Linked DNA regions of Mytilus edulis. The protein of the gene in region 1 interacts with the protein of each later gene in a biochemical or structural test. Links are inferred from orthologs where the notes say so. Each region holds a gene or a part of one and is shown in the gene's direction. Other genes may lie near its edges. The genes, in order: methyltransferase-like protein 22 and DNA/RNA-binding protein KIN17-like.

Region 1 (9,579 bases):
CCCTGGATAATCCCACATTTATATATAGTTTCTGTGATGATACCCCACTGTGCCACTGAAAGGTGTCACACAAACAATTCACTCACTAACACTTGAAAGCCCACATCTGACAACAAATAGTGCTTTTGGTGTTGTTCATTTCTTAAACAAGCACATGATAGTTACTATTTCTGATTGAAATTTTTTTTTTTTAATTTTGAGCCAAAATTTACCAATCCTTAAACTTACATCACAATTTTAGGGTAGATGTGCTGAATAGACTGCTAATATGCAAGGATTTTGTCCTGAATTAACCTCAGGGGAAAAGTTTGAAATGAACTGAACGGAACAAGACTTAATAATCTATTGGTCAGACTTTTCAGATGATGCTAAGATCAAAACGACCATTTCAGACGAAAACTAATATACTTGCTATAACCCCTAGTCATTTTACCCAATAAATACCCTCTGGCTCTTTTCCCGTAACAATACCCCTCTGGCCTTTTAGCTTATCAATACCCCTCTTGCCTTTTCAATCAGTATGGCACTGGACCTTTCACCATGTTGAGCTTAATTATGTCTTTCAAAATACATGTATTTATCAATTTCAAAAACTACAACTAAAGACACAAACAGAAAATTTCGGTTTGTTTTTAATTTTACCTCTTTATAACAAAATGGCATGGCTAACACTGTTACACCTATAATACTGTTACTAAGGTTCAGAATGTGTGGTATGTGACTATCTTCTGCCATGATGGTTAGAGTCTGTTGTCTGAAAAGAGCAAAAATAAATATGTTAAATTGTGTTATGATAGATTTCTGAAAACTTTTTGTTGCTCATCCTTAAATACATGTATGCGTAGTTATTATATTTATTTTTATAATACTATTGCATTATAACAGATAATGTTTAAATGTTCTTCAGGATAAAATTTTAGAGCAGTAGTGATAAAGGGGAAGTTTAAAGTTCATTGGTTAAATGTTTAGAATAATAGAATTGAGCTTAATCTATGTAATTGACTTATTAGTTACTGACAACTATCCTTTGACATGTTGTCTGCTCTATGGTCGGGTTGTTGTCTCTTTGGCACATTCTCCATTTCCATTTTCAATTTGAAAGCAATGGAAAAAGTTATGCTAATACAGAACTTTTATTATGTTTAGATAAAAACATTTCAACTTTAGATGCGTTTGCCTCAAAAATCCATAACTTAATCAGTCAAATATTATACAGATGTATAAACATGATAAAAGAAATCAATGCATCAAAAACAAAGTTTAACAGTTGTCAACAGTGAACTAAAATATTGTTAATTTATATGTGCACTTATCCAGGAAGGACATCATTTCGTTTGAATATCAGTTAAAGGACATCCAAACCAAAGGTGTTTTTTTTTCCATCCTACATGTATATAAATATAATTTTTTTGCAATAATATCTGTATGAATCTTTGATATATACTTATTGTATTCATGTGGTGAACTGAAGTTTTGTTTTTCATTGTTTCCTAATCATTATTCATAGACCAAAATAATAATAATGGTCCATCTATAATATCATGTGTTTATATTGTGACGTTTTTGACAGACATGACAGATAGCAGTGCCTAAATTTTTATTGATATTGTCTATATTTTGTTGAACTATTATTTAGCTAATCTGGTAAATACTTTATGTATAATGGAGACTTCATGTTTTAACTTAAATAGAATTTATTGTTTTGTCTATATTTCTGCCCATCATTCTTTGTATTATTTTATTAAAGCAGTAAATGTGTGTATTTTATTTCATTATTACCTATGTATTGTTTAATGGTTTTAATATTGTATGTTCCAGAATGACAGAAAACGTGTGTTTTCTAATCTACAACTCTTGATTAATTGTACATTACTTTCACTTTCTCTTTTACCGGAAGTCACGAGTATTATCATAAATATAGTGACAATAGAAATCGTATAATTTGTAGACTGTCCTGAACATGTTGTAGTTATATTTTTGTATGTTTGTCAAAATAGGGATAAAGGTTAGTGTTTTATGTAAAGTTTTGGTAGAAGGAAGTTTTATTTAAATTAGAGTAATAACTTCTTATGAACTATTTTAGCACTGACGTTGCGCACCTTTTCACAGTAATAGGGCTGTAATGACGTCATTTGATCAGACGTTAAGTGCAAAGATATTTACCTTTTCAGGAAGTTTCCTTATTTGGTCACTAATTTTACCTATATATTTGGAATTTCTCTCACGCGAGATAACAACACTAGCATAAGATTTATAGTATTTTACGTCAGTTCCAACTTGTCCCTACCACCGGATAGCAGCTTAATTTACATGTCTCATAAATTTCAAGGTACAGTTTTTCTAACATGTCTAAAGCAGCAGTTTATGTTCCTGAATATTGCATTATATACAATATAATTATTTATGCAGTTCGCTAATCCTGGCCGCTTGAACTTTTGACGCATACAACAATCACTTTTCCATTGTGGCGTCAGATATTTTGTTTAATGATCATGATGATGTCAAAATTTTACGGGAACCTGTGTGATTTCCAGTAATGGCGGACAAATAGCGATAAGGTGTATTGTTCCAGTTTCCAGTCAAGTTTTAATGGAGGCAGAAATTTAATAGTTTTCTTGTTTTCTTTATACATATAAGTTTTGAGAATAAAGTTTTATAATGAATTTCAACTTTAAATAGGAGAAAGGTGCGTAAAGTCGGCAAAAGTGTCCGTTTGTTTCATTTTATATTTTTATAATATAGAAAGAGGGTTACGAAATTGTGACTTATTTATTTGAGTAGTATTTTACATGTATTTATATGGAGAGTTGCTGATAAATCCGAGTTTCTTGAATGTTGATTTTTGGTGTAGCTGTTTTAGAGCATTATCTGTTCGTCTTATCTATACAGATGAATGCTGCTTTAAGAGATTTATAGCTGTTAATTCGTGTTCCAGTTGTTATTAATATACACCTTATCGCTATTTGTCCGCCATTAATGGATATCACACAGGTTCCCTTAAAATTTTGACGTCATAAAACAAAATATCTGATGCCACAATGGAAAAGTGATTGTTGTATGCGTCAAAAGTTCAAGCGGCCAGGTCAGCCGGGATTAGCGATAAGGTGTATTATGTCTGGTGAATAAAACTTTTTATACACTTGAAGCGATTTCGTGTTTACATTCAGACCTCAACGTAAATTCTAATGTGATATTGTATTGCATTACATGTACATATAAAAATACAACCCGTCTAACACACACACACACACACATAAAAAGGAGACTGCGCCGACCAAGAAACTAGATTTATATGACATGCAGTATACAGCAGCAGTATTACTAGTTATTATTTTGAGCGTTCATATTTCCTGTTCAAGTCTTTTGGTTTGTTGTTGGTGTCTGTCTGGTCTGGTGGTTGGTTTGGTTGGTTAGAAAGGTTCACATCGGTTAGCGAACACGTTACAATATTAATGATTTGGTGAAGTGACACCCCATTCAAATCCCTCTCATATTATTTTTTTATGAAAATAAAAGGGTTTTCAAGTTGTATATATACATTTATTAAAGCGCAGCCACTTTTAATGATAATCAATAGAACAACAGTTTCAAAAATACATGCAGTAATAATTTTATCATGTAAAACAACTGTAAGAAGGAGTCTTTCTATCATAGAAAAATTAGGGAGTGGAACAACTTGCCCAACTGTACTAATGAGTCCTGAATCTTTCAAGGCTCAGATCTGCTATTAAATTTAAATGACGTATTTTTAATCGCACTGTATATATATATATAAATCTGTTGTAGAGTTGTCACTGGCTCAGACGTACTTATAAATATAATTATTTTCTGTGACTGTATCTTACATTAATTTGTAGGATTCTATACTATAGATAATTTAGCTGATCTGTAAAAATAACATCTCCATGCCTTATATATCATGTACTATAGTACAACCCTAGATTAAAACTGACATGGAGAGGTAACACCTGGCGACTGAAAGCTTCATTTTTATGAAGCCCAGGTGGTCCTGTGGTCTAGCGGGACAGCTACAGTGCAGGCGATTTGGTGTCACGATATCTCAGTAGCATGGGTTCGAATACATCTTTCAAATGAGGCAAAATTTGTTTGGTTATTTACTAATGAAAATTTGTATGTACTTAAATATTTAGGGAGCTATATTATTACATAGATATAGGAAGATGTGGTGTGAGTGCCAATGAGACAACTCTCCATACAAATAACAATTTAAAAAGTAAACCATTATAGGTTAAAGTACGGCCTTCAACACAGAGCCTTGGCTCACACCGAACAACAAGCTATAAAGGGCCCCAAAATTACTAGTGTAAAACCATTCAAACGGGAAAACCAACGGTCTAATCTATATAATACATGTCTAGATGTTAGACAAAATGTTAATTAATGTATGTAATAACAATGATAATTGTAATGATTTTATGGTTCTCATCCTGCCTGGAACTAAATGTATTTGATTTTTATAGAATGAAGATAATAACACCTATCTGAACTTTTTTTAATGTTTCATTTTATTATATAAAAATGTTTTTCTGTTACAAATCATGATGTATTGTTCTATGTGTACATGTTATGCTGCCCATCAAGGGCCCTTGATTGGAATAATAAAATATTCTATTCTATTCTATTTTAAATCCCGGCGAGGGAAGAACAAAAAAATTGTGAAAGCAAATTTACAGATCTAACATTGTTGGGTTGATGTTTAGACGAGTTGTATATATATTAATTGAACCATTTTTTGTTTTATCAAATTTCAAAAACAATTCTCATGCACAAAATGTTGCTGATTACCAGATCATGATGAAAACAAAAATATTTTGTTACCCAGAGACAATAATCTAAATGTGATGACATTTCCATGCACTAAATGTCAATATTCAGTTCTTGGGAGTTCTATGGAAATTGTGGACAGTGTCTTATTTAGAGTATAGACTATACTCTATAGTCTAATTATTATATTACAAAAGTTGATTAATACATGTAGCTAGAGTAAACGTTAATTGTACATGGTATAAGAAGTGTTTCAATTAGTTCTTGGCCCCCAATATTAATTCCATTTGGGAATTTTTTTATCTATAGAAGTTTCTGATTTATACATTGTAAATGTAGCACCTCAACTGGCTATCAAATCATAAGACGTAACTTAGAAGACTGCAGCTGTTAACAGAAACCACCTGTTTTTATCCAATTTTGGAAATACTAAGCATGCAGGTTTACGTTTGCAAAGCAGTATCTGTGTTACGGATTTCCATTGCAGATGAATAGATGTAGATGTATAAAAAAAACACTGGCGGTAAAACAGTCAATAATTGGTGAATTGCTTTGTCCCCTGACCAGGAACAATTCAACATTTATAAATATAATGTATCAGAGAATCACAAAAGTAGTAGACATCTACATGTATATGTATTTTGTTGTCTTATACCAAGGATTTGTATAGTAAGTCTTACTATACAAATCCTTGCTTATACAGGAGTGTGTTTTTTTGTTGTTTTTTTTTTTATCAAATTACAAAAATAAGAGATTTATTTATCATGCTATGTCAAACTGGCATGATTGTCGGTTAAAAGCTTATTAGATCTATAGTATGCCTATAATTGTTTCAACCTGATAAATTATCAGAGTAAATTACCGATATTATAAGCAAAGTTTTTCTTGTTGTCTGCTTCGAGGAAACGTGTAAATTCTGTTTCTCATAAACGCTTGTATTAGCGTCTTTAACAACTGTTTAAAGCGCAAAATGATTCAGACGGAGAATATTAGTTTTAGAAACGATCCGGATAGAAACGTAATTGTCAAGCGGAAAAACACTGTAAACAAATAATTTATAAACTACATGTCATCAGTAACATATATATTAACGTTAGATATACTGTTCCCAGATGTCATGTATGCATGTTCAACCGAAAAATAACCCAAACAAAAAAGGATGTGATGTAAGATCCCTTTCCAAGTTTTTACAGCATTTGGAGGTTGAAGTAGTTGATTTTAACACATGTGACTGTAAAGTAATTTAAGAAATAATTCATGGAAGCCATAGATTATTGGAAATTTACACATGGCCTGGGCCGTGATATTCGAATTTTATCCTGAGCGTTAGCGAGGGATAAAATTAACGAATATCACGGCCCAGGCCATGTGTAAATTTCCAATAATCTATGGCTTCCATGAATTATTTCGATTCTAATAGGACAAATACGATCATTAAAAAAACTGAAGCGAGGGTGGGTATGCTGTGTGTGCGGCTGTTCTTTTTTACTCCCTGTTAGATAAAGCTCGAACATTCTAGTAAATTCGTAGCTTGCATGGATTATTTCGTAAACAACCGCCGAAAAAAATCTGTTTCATTCTCAAAACCAACAATTGCCATTTTGATTTACATGTTTTTCTCGTAAGCTACCGTAAAATCCAAAGTTGACAGTTCTTAACTAAGGAGCCGCCATGTTGACTTGCTGAAATCAGTAAATATGCGAATAATGCAATAGAATAGAAAATCAAACAAAACCTACCTTGAGAATCAATTTTAATGCAATAGTAAACGAAATTTAAATGGTTCACGTAACAGAAAACTTTCAACGCTAGCGTTTTCATTTGTATGACGTCATGTTTTGAAATGACTTTGATAGCGCCAAATACATGAATAAACTTTCGCGGAATTTTATTTTATTTTTATTTTGCTGGTTTCTCCGAGCTGTTTTGCATTACTTCTTTGCATCCGAATAAGAATAAAAGTGATTTTGTCTTTTTTAATTGCAATTTTTAAAACAATAAAATCGGCAAAGGGTTTGCAAATAGGTTTCAATACATGTGGATTTACGTGGGAAGTATATTGTAACCGCCATTATTATGTACATCTCGGAGTCTGCGCTGAGTATAGATATATCGAGAATTTTATCACAGTGTTGTTTACAAAGCGAAAGAAGCACGTCATATTAGAATTATATGTATTTATATATATAATATTTATTAATGTCATAAAGTTGTCATATGTTTAGACATGTATGATGAAATTAAAATTTGGTGTGGCGGCATGGTATTTAACATTATCATTCTTTAAGACAGACAAAAATAGTAGTCCAAATAATTATGATACATGCATGTATCTTTAAAGACATATATATTTTTGCTTTGACACTTGATTTGACACCACACAGTCTGAGGATTCTACTTCGTCAAAATTATCTCCCCATTACACCATTTCATTTTTACAATCGTAGAAATTAAAGCCATTGTATGGATGACGCACTGCCAATTTTGCTCTTGAAAACTGATAAATTTATCCAAATAGCACCATTACGATCCTTTTATGTCAGTTGTATTTTTTTAGAATTTTTTCTTGAGTCACATAATGGAAGAGCAGACAAAAAAATTACTGAACTAATAGATTGATATGTTCTCTGTGTCTGTGGTAAAAATTTTATTTAAATCGAAGGTTATGCATTTTCTACATCCAACTTGAAAGATACCCATGTCGTCGACTTGATATCTAATTGTTCTGCATTATTATGTAATAGATAAATTGAAAATTTATGCAAATGGTGTTTTTAAGATAAAACACTTCGTAATTGAGAAGAAAATTGCCGTTTTATTTTTTTGTTTCTATAGTAAACATTACAGTAAGCATTTATCGCCTTCTCTAACAAAGAGCTTTGATTCTGTTGTTCTATTTCAACTGGGTTAACGCCTGCGCAGGAAAGCCTCAAAGCAAAAAAAATATGATCCTTTCAAGACATCATAATTCATTGGACAAAATAGGTCAAAGTTTGACTGTATTGACATAATTTTAATTGGTAATAAAACATATATACTGTGGATTCATTATTATTCCTTGGATACCAATTTTCGTGGATTTCCTGGGTACAAGTGTTTTGCCCCTACATAATAAAACTAAAAAAAACAGTGTAAACAACCAATATTTGTTTATATTTTAGTAACCTGATGTGATCAATGAAGATTAATAATGCAGAAAGATGAGTTAGTACTTTCAGATGTACATCTACAGGTCCAAAGTAACCAGTCAAAAGGCTACAATAGTAAGTTACTACTCCATATTCAATTGTTGAACATTTTAAAAATCTATGTTATCATTTAGTTAGTAACATTTTACTAACAAAGATGATGGTATTAAATTGTACTTTTAAATGTTCATCTGATGGTACAAAATTATCAGTTCAAAGATGACAGCAGTATACTAGTAATATACTAATATTTATATTTGTCTATCTTGCACTTACAAGTATCTCCTTATTTAGCTCGTATTACCTTATTAAAAAATAGCAAAGCTTCTATCATAAGTATATCATTGATCAAGATTGAACATCAGAATTTAAAAATGGTTATGGTTAATGTAGACTTTTGCATTTCTGTATTGACATTCAAATTCATTGCTCGTTTGTTCAATGCCTTGCACAAGTGTATCCATTTACTGTTTATGACAGTGCTGTATGACACCGTCTATGAAGTGCAGTCACTGATATTGATATTGATTATGAAATATAGGTGGATCATTTTTTGTCTCGCCTTGACAGAGTCAAAAAGCGAGACAAAGGTATGCTGTTTCAGGCTGGCGGCGGTGTCAACAATGTATAAGTTTTTGATTAGGTCTAGTTTATGGTGAACCACTAGTGGTAGGTCAATCATATTTGGTATGCAGCTGTATAAGCATTGGCACATCTCATTTCCATGGAGATTATGTGGCCCTGTTCCCTCAGTCATGGTCTATTAGCTTCAAAACTTTTGCCTTTTTATGCCCCACCTACGATAGTAGAGGGGCATTATGTTTTCTGGTCTGTGCCTCCTTTCGTCCGTCCGTCTGTGCATCCGTCCGTCTGTGCGTCCGTTTGTCCGTTTGCGTCCGTTCGCTTCAGGTTAAAGTTTTTGGTCAAGGTAGTTTTTGAAGAAGTTGAAGTCTAATCAACTTGAAACTTAGTACACATGTTCCCTATGATATGATCTTTCTAATTTTAATTCCAAATTAAAGTTTTGACCCCAATTTCACGGTCCACTGAACATAGAAAATGATAGTGCGAGTGGGGCATCCGTGTACTTGGGACACATTCTTGTTTTACATGTATTAGTTTGTGATTAGGTCAGTTTATGAGGAACCACAAGTGGTAGGTCAATAATATTTAGTATGCAGTTGTATAAGCATTGGCATATCTCATTTCCATGGAGATGATTTGGCTCCGCCCCCTTAGTCATGGTCTATTGACTTTGAAATTTTTTGTAAGTTATGTATTAATTTGTTATTAGGTCAGTTCAAGGGGAACCATTAGTGGTAGGCCAATGTTAATTGATATTCAGTTGTATAAGCATTGGCACATCTCATTTCCATGCATAATATTTGGCCTTGACCCTCAGTCATAGTCTAATGACTTTGAAACCTATCTTAGTTTACATGTATTAGTTTGAGATTAGATCAGTTTAAGATGAACTGCTCATTTAATGTTAAATCAATGATATTTGGTAAGCAAATTTGCCAATAAAATTGAGAAAGGAAATGGTGAATATGTCAAAGCGACAACCACCCGACCATAGAGCAAACAACAGCCGAAGGCAACCAAT
Region 2 (10,273 bases), on another chromosome or scaffold:
ATCAGGTCCCACTTCAGATAACTGGAAAAAATCGGTAAGATTTTCAAAATCGACAAAACAAAAGTTATACATTAACTGTTTGGAATTTGTGAAAAAATACTAAAAAGTAAGTATATAAAAATAGAATCAGCAATAGTTTTTTTTTAATGAAAATGTTGACTTTCCATTAACAACTGTTCATAGTTCACTAAATATACGTAAACTATTATTTTAATATACATAAGCTTAAAATATCAGAACAAAGTTCACAATGCATGGTGTCTAGAATGGATGTGCAAGAATGGTAATCCACACAAATTAAATATGTATGCACACATAATTTAATGAAAAAATCAGATGTTTTGATTATTTAAAAAAAACAGAAGATAGCGGATGACCTCAATCAAATTTAACAACAAACATTTACCAAAGTAGACATTCATACTTCACGTTGTGGCCTTCAACGAGCAACAACGTCAGTAAGCATATCTGAAGATCTTGTTAAACCAGATCGTAAAAGAATCTTTAACACACTTTAAAGAAGAAACTACAACGGCGTTTATAATTTTTTTTTTATGAAGCTAACTATATTATTAGAAATAAAGTTACCTTATCTGCCACTGACATTCCCCAATATGGTTCTAAGTGATGATCATCTATGTCAGCCACTGGGAAACCAAGACGTTCCCCTAGTATTCTGCCTAGTGTGGTTTTACCGGAACCTGGACTTCCCATTAATATTATATTTGGCTACAAATAGTCATTATAATATATTTGTTACACGATGAAAATATAACGTGTTTAAACAAAAACCAAGCTAGCACATAGTAAATGATTTTTGATGCCCAAAAAGTATAACTACTAAATAGTGATGAACAACAATGTTCCAAGTTATTCACCGACTGCTTCTTATATTATAATTGAACATTTATCAGTAACGTTGTTAAAATGATAAAGATGCGCATGCCGTCAACTAGACATGAGCACAACTCTGCTTATCCGTTGATTCAAATTATCATGTAGTTCTGGTCATCAAATAAAATTAACGGTACCAATTTTCTTGCACCAGATGCGCATTTCGACAATACATGTCTCTTCAGTGATGCTCGTCAAATTGTTCCATGATATACCATGTGTTTTGATGCACTTCAGTGTTTCTGTTCTTTCATTGTTTTCCTCCTATAGTTGAACCTTCCACCAGGGGGAAATACAACCAACTTCACAGGTTTTGCCAGTCGAAGCCTTCAATAGATTCCTACATTGAGCTATTCCACATCAGCTCCAAATCCACCAACTTATGGAGCATGCTAAGAAGACGCCAGTGAGACCAAAGATGGAATAAACTACGACAGTAAAGGACCCCTATCAGCAAAGTTAAAGATGAATTGGAGAAGCTTCAAAAGCGAACTACAAGATATATCAACAGCAGAAATCAAATATCATTTGTCTGCAACCTGATAAGTGATCTAGGGCTGTAAATTCTACAAATAAAGGCAACAGTAGTATACCGCTGTTCAAAACTCATAAATCCAAGGACAAAAAACAAAATCGGGGTAACAAACTAAAACTGAGGGAAGCGCATTAAATATAAGAGGCGTAAATCTGTAGCAAAATAACAAATTACCTAATAGCCATAGACAATATTAAATACACTTCAGGCCAATAAGAAGCTCCGATCGCACAGGAAATAATTCCTACCAACTACAGCTACTCATAACAGATTGTATGAAGTGTTCCCTCTGCGGAAACACCGCAAATAATTTGGAACAAACCTACAGTCTACGGATATCGCCACATATATGTCCCTCAATCCACACAACTTGAGATGGTGCTAGCCATGTGTGAGAACTCTGCAATTTTCAGGGTCGAACTCAATTCTCCAGACATATTTACAAACAGGTTAGATCTAAACGTACTGACTTTGGATATGTATTTTAAGTGATCCAAAGAGTTGACGCCGTTGATGTTTTGTGGGAGTGAATTCCGCAGGACAATTGTGAATGGAAAAAACTGTACTTGAAGTAATCTGTTTTGGAGCTGAATGTTTGGTTATTAAAGTGAATTGTTGAATCTTCTTTTTTTTTTACTGAAAGGTAAATGTATACTGATATAAGCCTTTGGGTGTTATTTTGTACATCATTTTTACTCAATTGATGTATCTGCAAGTTTCAAGTCATTTCATTTGTAAGATGGTCAATCATGGAAGTGGCACTACTGGTGTCATGGTACCTGTTGGTGACGTAGAGTGCTGCTATTCTTTGTACATTTTCAATGTTTCGTGATGGTACTATGTTTATATCATTTTACAACAGATACATGTAAGAGACCTTGGTCCAGGACAACATATGAATTTGTAAATGATATTCCTAGCCTAGTAAGGTCTTAAAATAAATAATAATGCAACAGACAGGTATAGGCTGAAAATTAATATTCTGTCTCACAAAATACTGGAAATAGCAAAGCCTGGCGAAATAAATGAACCCGCATTGCAGTTGATGTGAAAAATGAATTTTCTTTCCTTGAACAATTATTTTGGTCTTCATCTGAGATGAAGCAGCAGAAACCTCGTATAACTCTTAAATACATTGTTTCGAGACTGACGCATATGACGGAGTTTCAAGGCTTTCGTTTATTTTTAAATCAAAACTATCTTGTACATAGCTGTTGTTGTCTTCAACGGTCAATGTATTTCATGGAAAGCATATAAAACAAATATCAGCCAAAGAACTTAACAGCTGGGTCCAGAGTTAAAGGGCTCTCTTCTTCTTCCCGTTACGAGTCGGACTATGTAGTAAAGTGTAATTGACTTGGGCGCATCTCAAACAGACAGGAGGCCACTTCTCTGGCCAAAAGTAAAAAAAACCCCAAACAAATGGACGATATTTACAATAGAATATTGATCTTAATTACATCTATGTACACTGGTTATCCTGCTGTCTATTTCAGTTGTGGCTGGGTCCAGCCTGAGGGGATGGTATTCACTCTGGCCCTGAAATCTTCTAGAGATCCGGACTCCACTACAGATTCGGGGAGTTTATTCCATTCTCTAGTTGTTTTTGGGAAGAATGAGTGGTAGTAGACATCCCTCTTCACTTTAGTTTGTCTAAGTTTGTGGTTGCCCCTGGCCCTAGTGTCCACTGTTGTGTAGTATTTGGCTGGATCAATGGCAATCAACTGGTGTTGAGTCTTATAACACAGCACCAGACTCTGTTTCCATTGTCTGTGCTGCAGTGATTCCCATTGAAGTTGGTCCAGTAGCTTGGTAACACATCCAGCTCTCGGCTGAGTTACTACACTGTTAGCGTAAACTATCAACAGTATACATGTGTATGTAAAAGAAAATTGACGTAACATATTTTCCTTTCAGGCAATCAATAAGAGTAACAGACTGTTAATAAAAGCAGTGGAAATAGACTGAGATGAATTTAGCAAATGAAGCAGTGTATGTGTATATACATGGTATAGGTATACACTTGTCAAGTCCATTTTATTATGATTACCTGTTTACCACCTGATTTAGTAGAAAATATTCTGTAAGGTAATTTGCAACCCAAACACCAGCTGATTCCATTCTGTGCTGGTCTGAAAAGTCTGTTGTGGCATTTTAACAAATTTAACAACGATTTCTGAAATTTCATGTTGTTTACTATTTCGGCTTTACTAAATAACTAAATCACCACAGGACATGGACACGTATGTGTGTGCTTAGTCTAAATAGATTACATAGTTTTTCAACTAAGTATATATCTCAAGACGATTACAGTTATTGACTATTAAAAATTAGGAAGCAAGGCTTCGAAACATAACTGTGATGTAAGAAGTAAATTGTGATATTAAATTAAAGTACAGACTAGCGTAACAATATAGTCATAAATATATTATGAGCAAGCCAACGGGAATAAGAAGTGAACTAAAATAAAACCGTATAAAGGACTATATTATATCATGTCTAGAACTATTATAAGAGATCTATCATGGGTAATCACATCATCACAATTGTTTTAGCAAGTAAAATCCCATAATCATTAAATAGTTTTTTTTTTAACAAGATGATAATCAAAAATTCAGTCCGCTTAGCCTCAGTGATTATCAAATAATCAAATAATCATTAAATATTCGGTCTGGTAATCAAATAATCACTATAAAAACGGTCAAGTAATCACATAAACAACGGAAAATTCTGAAGCGGAACAGAATTAATTCTGACGAACCTAATTCGTAAAGCCGGGCCAATATAAAATCAATGCGAAGTGCATGAACTACATTAATAATCTATCTTAAAAAAAAATATTATACGCTAGTACGTATCCTAAACTTATTTCACAAATACTGAAAACCTCCTTTCACCCGTAGTGATAAAAGGGTTGCGTTATTTTTTTTGGTAATATTTATTGATCAATTTATTATATTGTACACTACATTATGTTGCTCTTGTTGCACACAATGTGTGCCTTGGTGTATTAATAAACTTGTCTTGTTTTGTCATAATAAATAACTAAGTTGAAAAGAAACCCACAATATTTTTTTCTTTTAAAGCCGGGACGTCACTTGAAGATCTACATGCAGCATTTTTTCTATGTTGTAACTAGAACAAAGGAGACACCCGCACTGAGGGTAAATGAAATTCGAAGTACAACCTCATTTGCAAAAAGAAAAACATACCGCGAGACTAACAGATTGGCAACAGTCCATCATTAAAACGATTCACAGCCAATTTAAGTTTGAGATTGAATCATCAAAGCGGGGATAAACTCATCTGCTCCTTAGGAAGGCCAAGCAGCTTACAGTTCTCTCAGTTTTAATAGCAAAATTTGCATATTTAAGTTAACGTTACCACTTAATTATTAGTGACTGTTTGACATTGCTAAATCGACTCAGTGATACATATAACAAAAGAAGATGTGGTATGATTGCCAATGAGACAACTCTCCACAAGAGACCAAAATGACACAGAAATTAACAACTATAGCCTATAGGTCACCGTCCGGCCTTCAACAATGAGCAAAGCCGATACCAAGTTTCAAAGTTTTTTTTATTTCTTAAAGACTTCAACAGGGGTATGTGAACAATAAAAAATACTACATTTATAAGTATTCATAATATAACAAAATAACAAAGTATCAAAGTATTAAATGCAGTGAACATTATAAACATTCATTACATGTAACATATATATATACATTTGAAAAAGTAATGTATAAGTCAAATGGACATATTAATGGTTGAAACAATTTTAGTTTAATTAACAACAGCTAGTACAATTTAAAAAAAAATAAAAAAATTTAAGAACAACATTGTAAGAGTCAGAATTAAATAACTCATACAATTTTTACCACACAGTAAGCTATAAAAGACCCCGAAATGACAATGTAAAACAATTCAGCCGAGTGTGTATATATAACACTTTAACATTTCATTTTTTTTTTTGCTTTCTTTTAAAAGTTTGTTTAATGATATATGTAAAACTTGCATGGATATAAATCTAATTTGAAATGTTTATCCCCGGCCGTATAGAGGCCGCCGCATGAGAAGTTTGGTTTTCACGTTGAAGTATCCATCTTTATAAATACGAAAACTTTGCAACCACTGAAAATTAATCAAAGTCTTTCTAATCAGATTTTAGAATTTGCTCTTTACATGCTCATAGTAAACACCGTCAGCAATCTGTAATACATGTACTGTGAAAATGAGATTTAAGAAATTAATATCATCTGTAGATGTGACTTATGCATTGGCCTAGATGTACAATAAATTTTATATCATGTCCATTATCCCTGTCACCCATCCTTATCCTTTTGATTTTTTGTTAAATTTGTACTCTTCTTGAATATGAATGAACAATGTCATTGTGGAGTTATGCTGTTCATATAAACAGACCATAGCATGCATAAAAAAATATCGGTCCGGATTTAGTCGTGTCCTTGTCCATCGCTTGACTTTGCTATTTATTCGTAATAGTTTGTTTCCGGTTTCTAGTTTGACTTTTTTCGAATTATTTTGTCATCGACTATTTTTTATATTAATAGCTTTTTTATATCAGGAGTTAAGAATGGGGTAAGATATTTCAAGATTATCATTGAAGCAGGTTGGTTTATTTTTCATAGTGCCGTGAAAATTCGCGAAGACTTGAGTGAAGAGTAAAATAAAAATATGACAATTAAATTTTGATTTTAACTTCTCATTTACAAAAATGACAACGAAAATGACAAACTGTAATTTGATTTTAAGAGTGCCCCTTGTGTACGGTATCAGGTCCGTTTTCTTTCAAGACACATTCACACCCTACATGTCTACATGTTTGCACCCCACAGGTTCGACTCCTAGCCCTAGGAGGCAATGTCTGTTAGCCCCCAATTTTATTCAATTACCTATGATTTTTAAAATGTATCTATTAAAATATTGATAATGGGTCTCATTTGGGTCTAAGCATGAGGCAGGATTGCCGATATTTGTATCAGTGAACTCAGTGACACATGAAATATAAATTATTGTGCCGTGAAAAACGTTGAAATAAGTGGGACACGGGAAATTGCAAAAAAATGAAAACTGCTTACGTACATAGTGTAAGCGTGATTTGGAATATGACAAAACAGTTAGCAGGATCCGAGATCAGAACCCCCAATGAGACACCCTTGATACATGTGATACATGTACATAAAATGATGTACATAATTTAAAGTACAAAATTTCGTGAATTTATTAAATGAAATATTTTTTTTTTGTGACTAGATGATTAATTATTAATTTGTTTATGATTTAATTGTTACATGTATTCAAAAAGTAATTTGGTAATATTGATAAGGTACCTTGAATGACCGAATAACACCGTTTTTATCTAAATAACACTTGTAATGACCAAATAACATTTGAAATTTAAATATTAGCACATTTTAGTTACTTTTAAACATTCATTATTAAATAATAGTATACAGTGTTCTCCCCAGGCCGTTTTAGCGTCCCGGTACCGCGACGCTATATTTTTTCACCGTGATGCTATAATAATTTCCGCGACACTATAATTATTCCTGCGACGCTATAATTATTCCCGCGACGCTATAATTATTTTGAAGATGCTATTTTACCTGTCCTCAATTTCGTACTTTCATCTACATGTATTATCGATTATGATCATAAAAATTATATCACCTTTAATTGTAATCCCTTTAAGTCGGACATTAGAGGCAATTAAGAGGTTAAATAGCTAGGTGTTAATTGCCCTCAGGGTGATAACTGTTTAGATGCAAATATCCCAAGCTGACACTTGTGACATGACTAATACACCAATTTCGACATGGAAAAATGCAATCATATTAAGAAATTTCAAAGCTTGAAACGATTATTATTTTTTTTTAAAAGATCGTTTATTTGTGCAACTCTCCAAAAATTACTTTCTTTCTCTTCCGGTAATACGAGAGCGAGAATTTTGGTTTACAGCTAAGATAAGTTTAATACTTCTTTAAAACGTTATCATAATTGGCTTAAGTTTATGTTTAATCCATTTAATGTATTAAAAGCGTCTTATTCATTCACAATCTCTTGTCAAACAATGTTTATTCTCGGACTCATTTTCATAAATTTTTCTACGGCCGCCATTGCACATTTTAGTGTAAACTACGGAGAGGAACCGGATGAGATATGACAAAAATCCGCATTTTCACGATAATGACAACAGATGGACAGTAGACAGAAAAAAATATACCAAGAGGGAAAACTACGCATTAACAGACTATTTGTTAGATAACTTTGTTAAAAATACATATCATTTTAATGTAAAGATAAGAAACTACTGGGACTAATTCATTGAGTGCCATCATGGCCATGAAACAATGAATTTCATAAACATGATAAAAAAAAAGTTTTAAATTGATTTTTTTTGGCTACTTTATCTTTACTTAATATAATATAAAAAATAGTTAATTTTGTGTACTAGATATTTAGTTTTGTATATATACAGGTTGCACTATAGTTATAATGAACCATTCATTCATTTGACTTATTGTTGGGTAACTGAAACCACATATTTATTTTTGTTTGGCACAAAAGAAAAAAAATAATTCTGTAACTATAAATGAATAAAGAAATTATTATATATAATATAGTTTAATTGTATTCTCAGTTATGAATTGAACAATATAAACTAAAACATATAAAGGAAATAGAGCATCAACGCGACGCGTTAAATGACATTAAAAAAAATACAGTTATTTTTTTTTACGCAAAATGTGATGCTATCCAAAATTTCTGGGGAGAACACTGGACTATATTATAAAGGTTTTTATAACTTAAAAATGATAAATAAAAAGCAAGTGTTCTTAAATGAGTGCATTTGCTGGGTTTAAACTCTCAACCTCAGTGTCGACTGATAGTGATTAACTGATTACATATTAGTATACCTACTTAGACCACTTGGCCACCAAGGTCCCTAGTATGCTTTAAGTTTAAAAGCAAAGTTTCTGGTAGAGGACTAAGAGGAGGAAGATAAAGACTAGCTAACAGGTCTACATTGTTAACTTTTAATATTGATGTTAAGAAATTGAAGATTACTGATTTGCAATTTATGATGTTATTTGGTAGTTTGTTCTTACATTTTTTTTTCTTAGGAAAATGTTATTTGGTAGTTTGTTCTTAGGAAAATAAGATTCTTTTCTGTACTTTGCATGCAATCTTGTCGTTCTTGTTTTTTAACTGTCCATGTATTTATTTCAGGATTATTTGTTTCTTCTGTTGAAATAGACATAAAAAATGGGAAAAGAAAAGGGAGGATTCCTGACACCAAAGGCAATTGCCAACAGAATAAAATCCAAAGGTTTACAGAAATTGAGATGGTATTGCCAGATGTGTCAGAAACAGTGTAGAGATGAGGTAAAATTAAAAAAGAAGGGACAGTTCAAGGGAACATGTAAATGAAATACACTTTAATGTCTTTTGTTAAAATAATACATTGTATAAACAATGTTATTTCCTACAGGAACCCCTTTTACAGCGTAAAATGTGTGCCACATGAACTTTCCTATAGAAAATCCTTTATATTTTCAGATTCTTCTTAAAAGTACATGCACTCCTTAAAGTTACTGTCATCCCGTACACTAGTTTGTAGATCTACTCAGGCTCTGTGTTGGTTGTTTATCAATGACAAGATCCTGTAAACCTCTGCAACAAACTAAGATCAATGAGCTTGTGGTCATCAACTACTGAATGAATATTTTGTGTCAATAATACATTATATATTCATAATGAATATAAAAAACTTATGTATGCATGTATGGTTCATTAATTTCAATAACGTTATAACATGTATAACTACAAAAAAATGTTTCATATGAATTTTAAACTCTTGCCTATCATATGAATTTGCTGACCAAAACTGTAATACAATGTATATATCTTACTGTTGGATTTATAATGATTATTAATATTACAGAATGGGTTCAAATGTCACACAATGTCAGAATCACACCAGCGTCAGTTGCTATTATTTGCTGAGAGTCCAGATAAATATATAGATTCATTTTCAGAGTAAGTTGTAATATCAGAAATTGTATGATAATATAAATCATGAAATCATTATTGTACCAAGAAACAAAATTGCAGCACCAACATTAACTTTATTCTTTGAACAGATATGAAATCACATGATTTTTAGTTTTTCTTGCAAGAGACAAGGATTTATTTAATTTAGTGTTGGCTTCAGCTCTTTTAAATCTTTATAGTTCAGAAGGTATGAGTCTAGTCACCTATTCACAAGAGTTCAAATGTTGAAGATATAAGCAATTATATGTCATCATAAGGCATTCCACAGTGAGAAACACCCATAAAAAATTGTAGTCCAGCAGTACTTTGAATTAATAGGTAGCAAAAGGATGGACATGAGAAGCATTGTTTTCCAATTCCACAGACCCTTAATTTCTAGTTGAAATTTCCTTACATGTACATTTGTATGAATGCTGAATTTTTCATTGTTGATAAGAAAAAAATAATATGTATTTTAAAAATAATATGTATTTTAAAAATAATATGCATTTTAAAAATAATATGTATTTTTTTCAAGTAACTTATTATTTTCTATTATAGAGACTTTTTTAATGACTATGTGGAGTTATTGAAAAGACGATTTGGTAAAAAGAGAGTAAATTGTAATATTGTGTATCAAGAGTATATAGCATTCAAAGAACACACACATATGAACAGTACACAGTGGGAAACTTTAACAGAATTTGTCAAATGGCTTGGACGAGAAGGTAAAGTTTACACATAACATGCACACAATTACATGTACATACAAGTCTCATAGAAG

What was found.
Region 2: of the proteins of methyltransferase-like protein 22 (region 1) and DNA/RNA-binding protein KIN17-like, one has a biochemical effect on the other in vitro, tested with the Homo sapiens proteins (2 studies listed by BioGRID). The link is inferred for Mytilus edulis from reciprocal best matches to the Homo sapiens genes METTL22 and KIN.

Annotation. Positions count from the first base shown.
Region 1 is NC_092352.1:3,180,074-3,189,652, forward strand, and holds the start of methyltransferase-like protein 22, read left to right. Parts: upstream 1-5,787; 5' UTR 5,788-5,827; exon of another isoform or gene 5,828-6,023; intron 6,024-6,101; exon of another isoform or gene 6,102-6,239; intron 6,240-7,946; 5' UTR 7,947-7,975; coding exon 7,976-8,048; intron 8,049-9,579. Other genes in the region: putative sodium-coupled neutral amino acid transporter 10, read right to left, coding at 643-735. UniProt on the Homo sapiens protein: Protein N-lysine methyltransferase. Trimethylates KIN at Lys-135 (in vitro).
Region 2 is NC_092344.1:36,394,849-36,405,121, reverse strand, and holds the start of DNA/RNA-binding protein KIN17-like, read left to right. Parts: upstream 1-5,926; 5' UTR 5,927-6,033; intron 6,034-8,685; 5' UTR 8,686-8,721; coding exon 8,722-8,841; intron 8,842-9,400; coding exon 9,401-9,495; intron 9,496-10,050; coding exon 10,051-10,217; intron 10,218-10,273. Other genes in the region: threonine synthase-like 1, read right to left, coding at 1-21, 589-729, 3,480-3,617. UniProt on the Homo sapiens protein: Involved in DNA replication and the cellular response to DNA damage. May participate in DNA replication factories and create a bridge between DNA replication and repair mediated by high molecular weight complexes.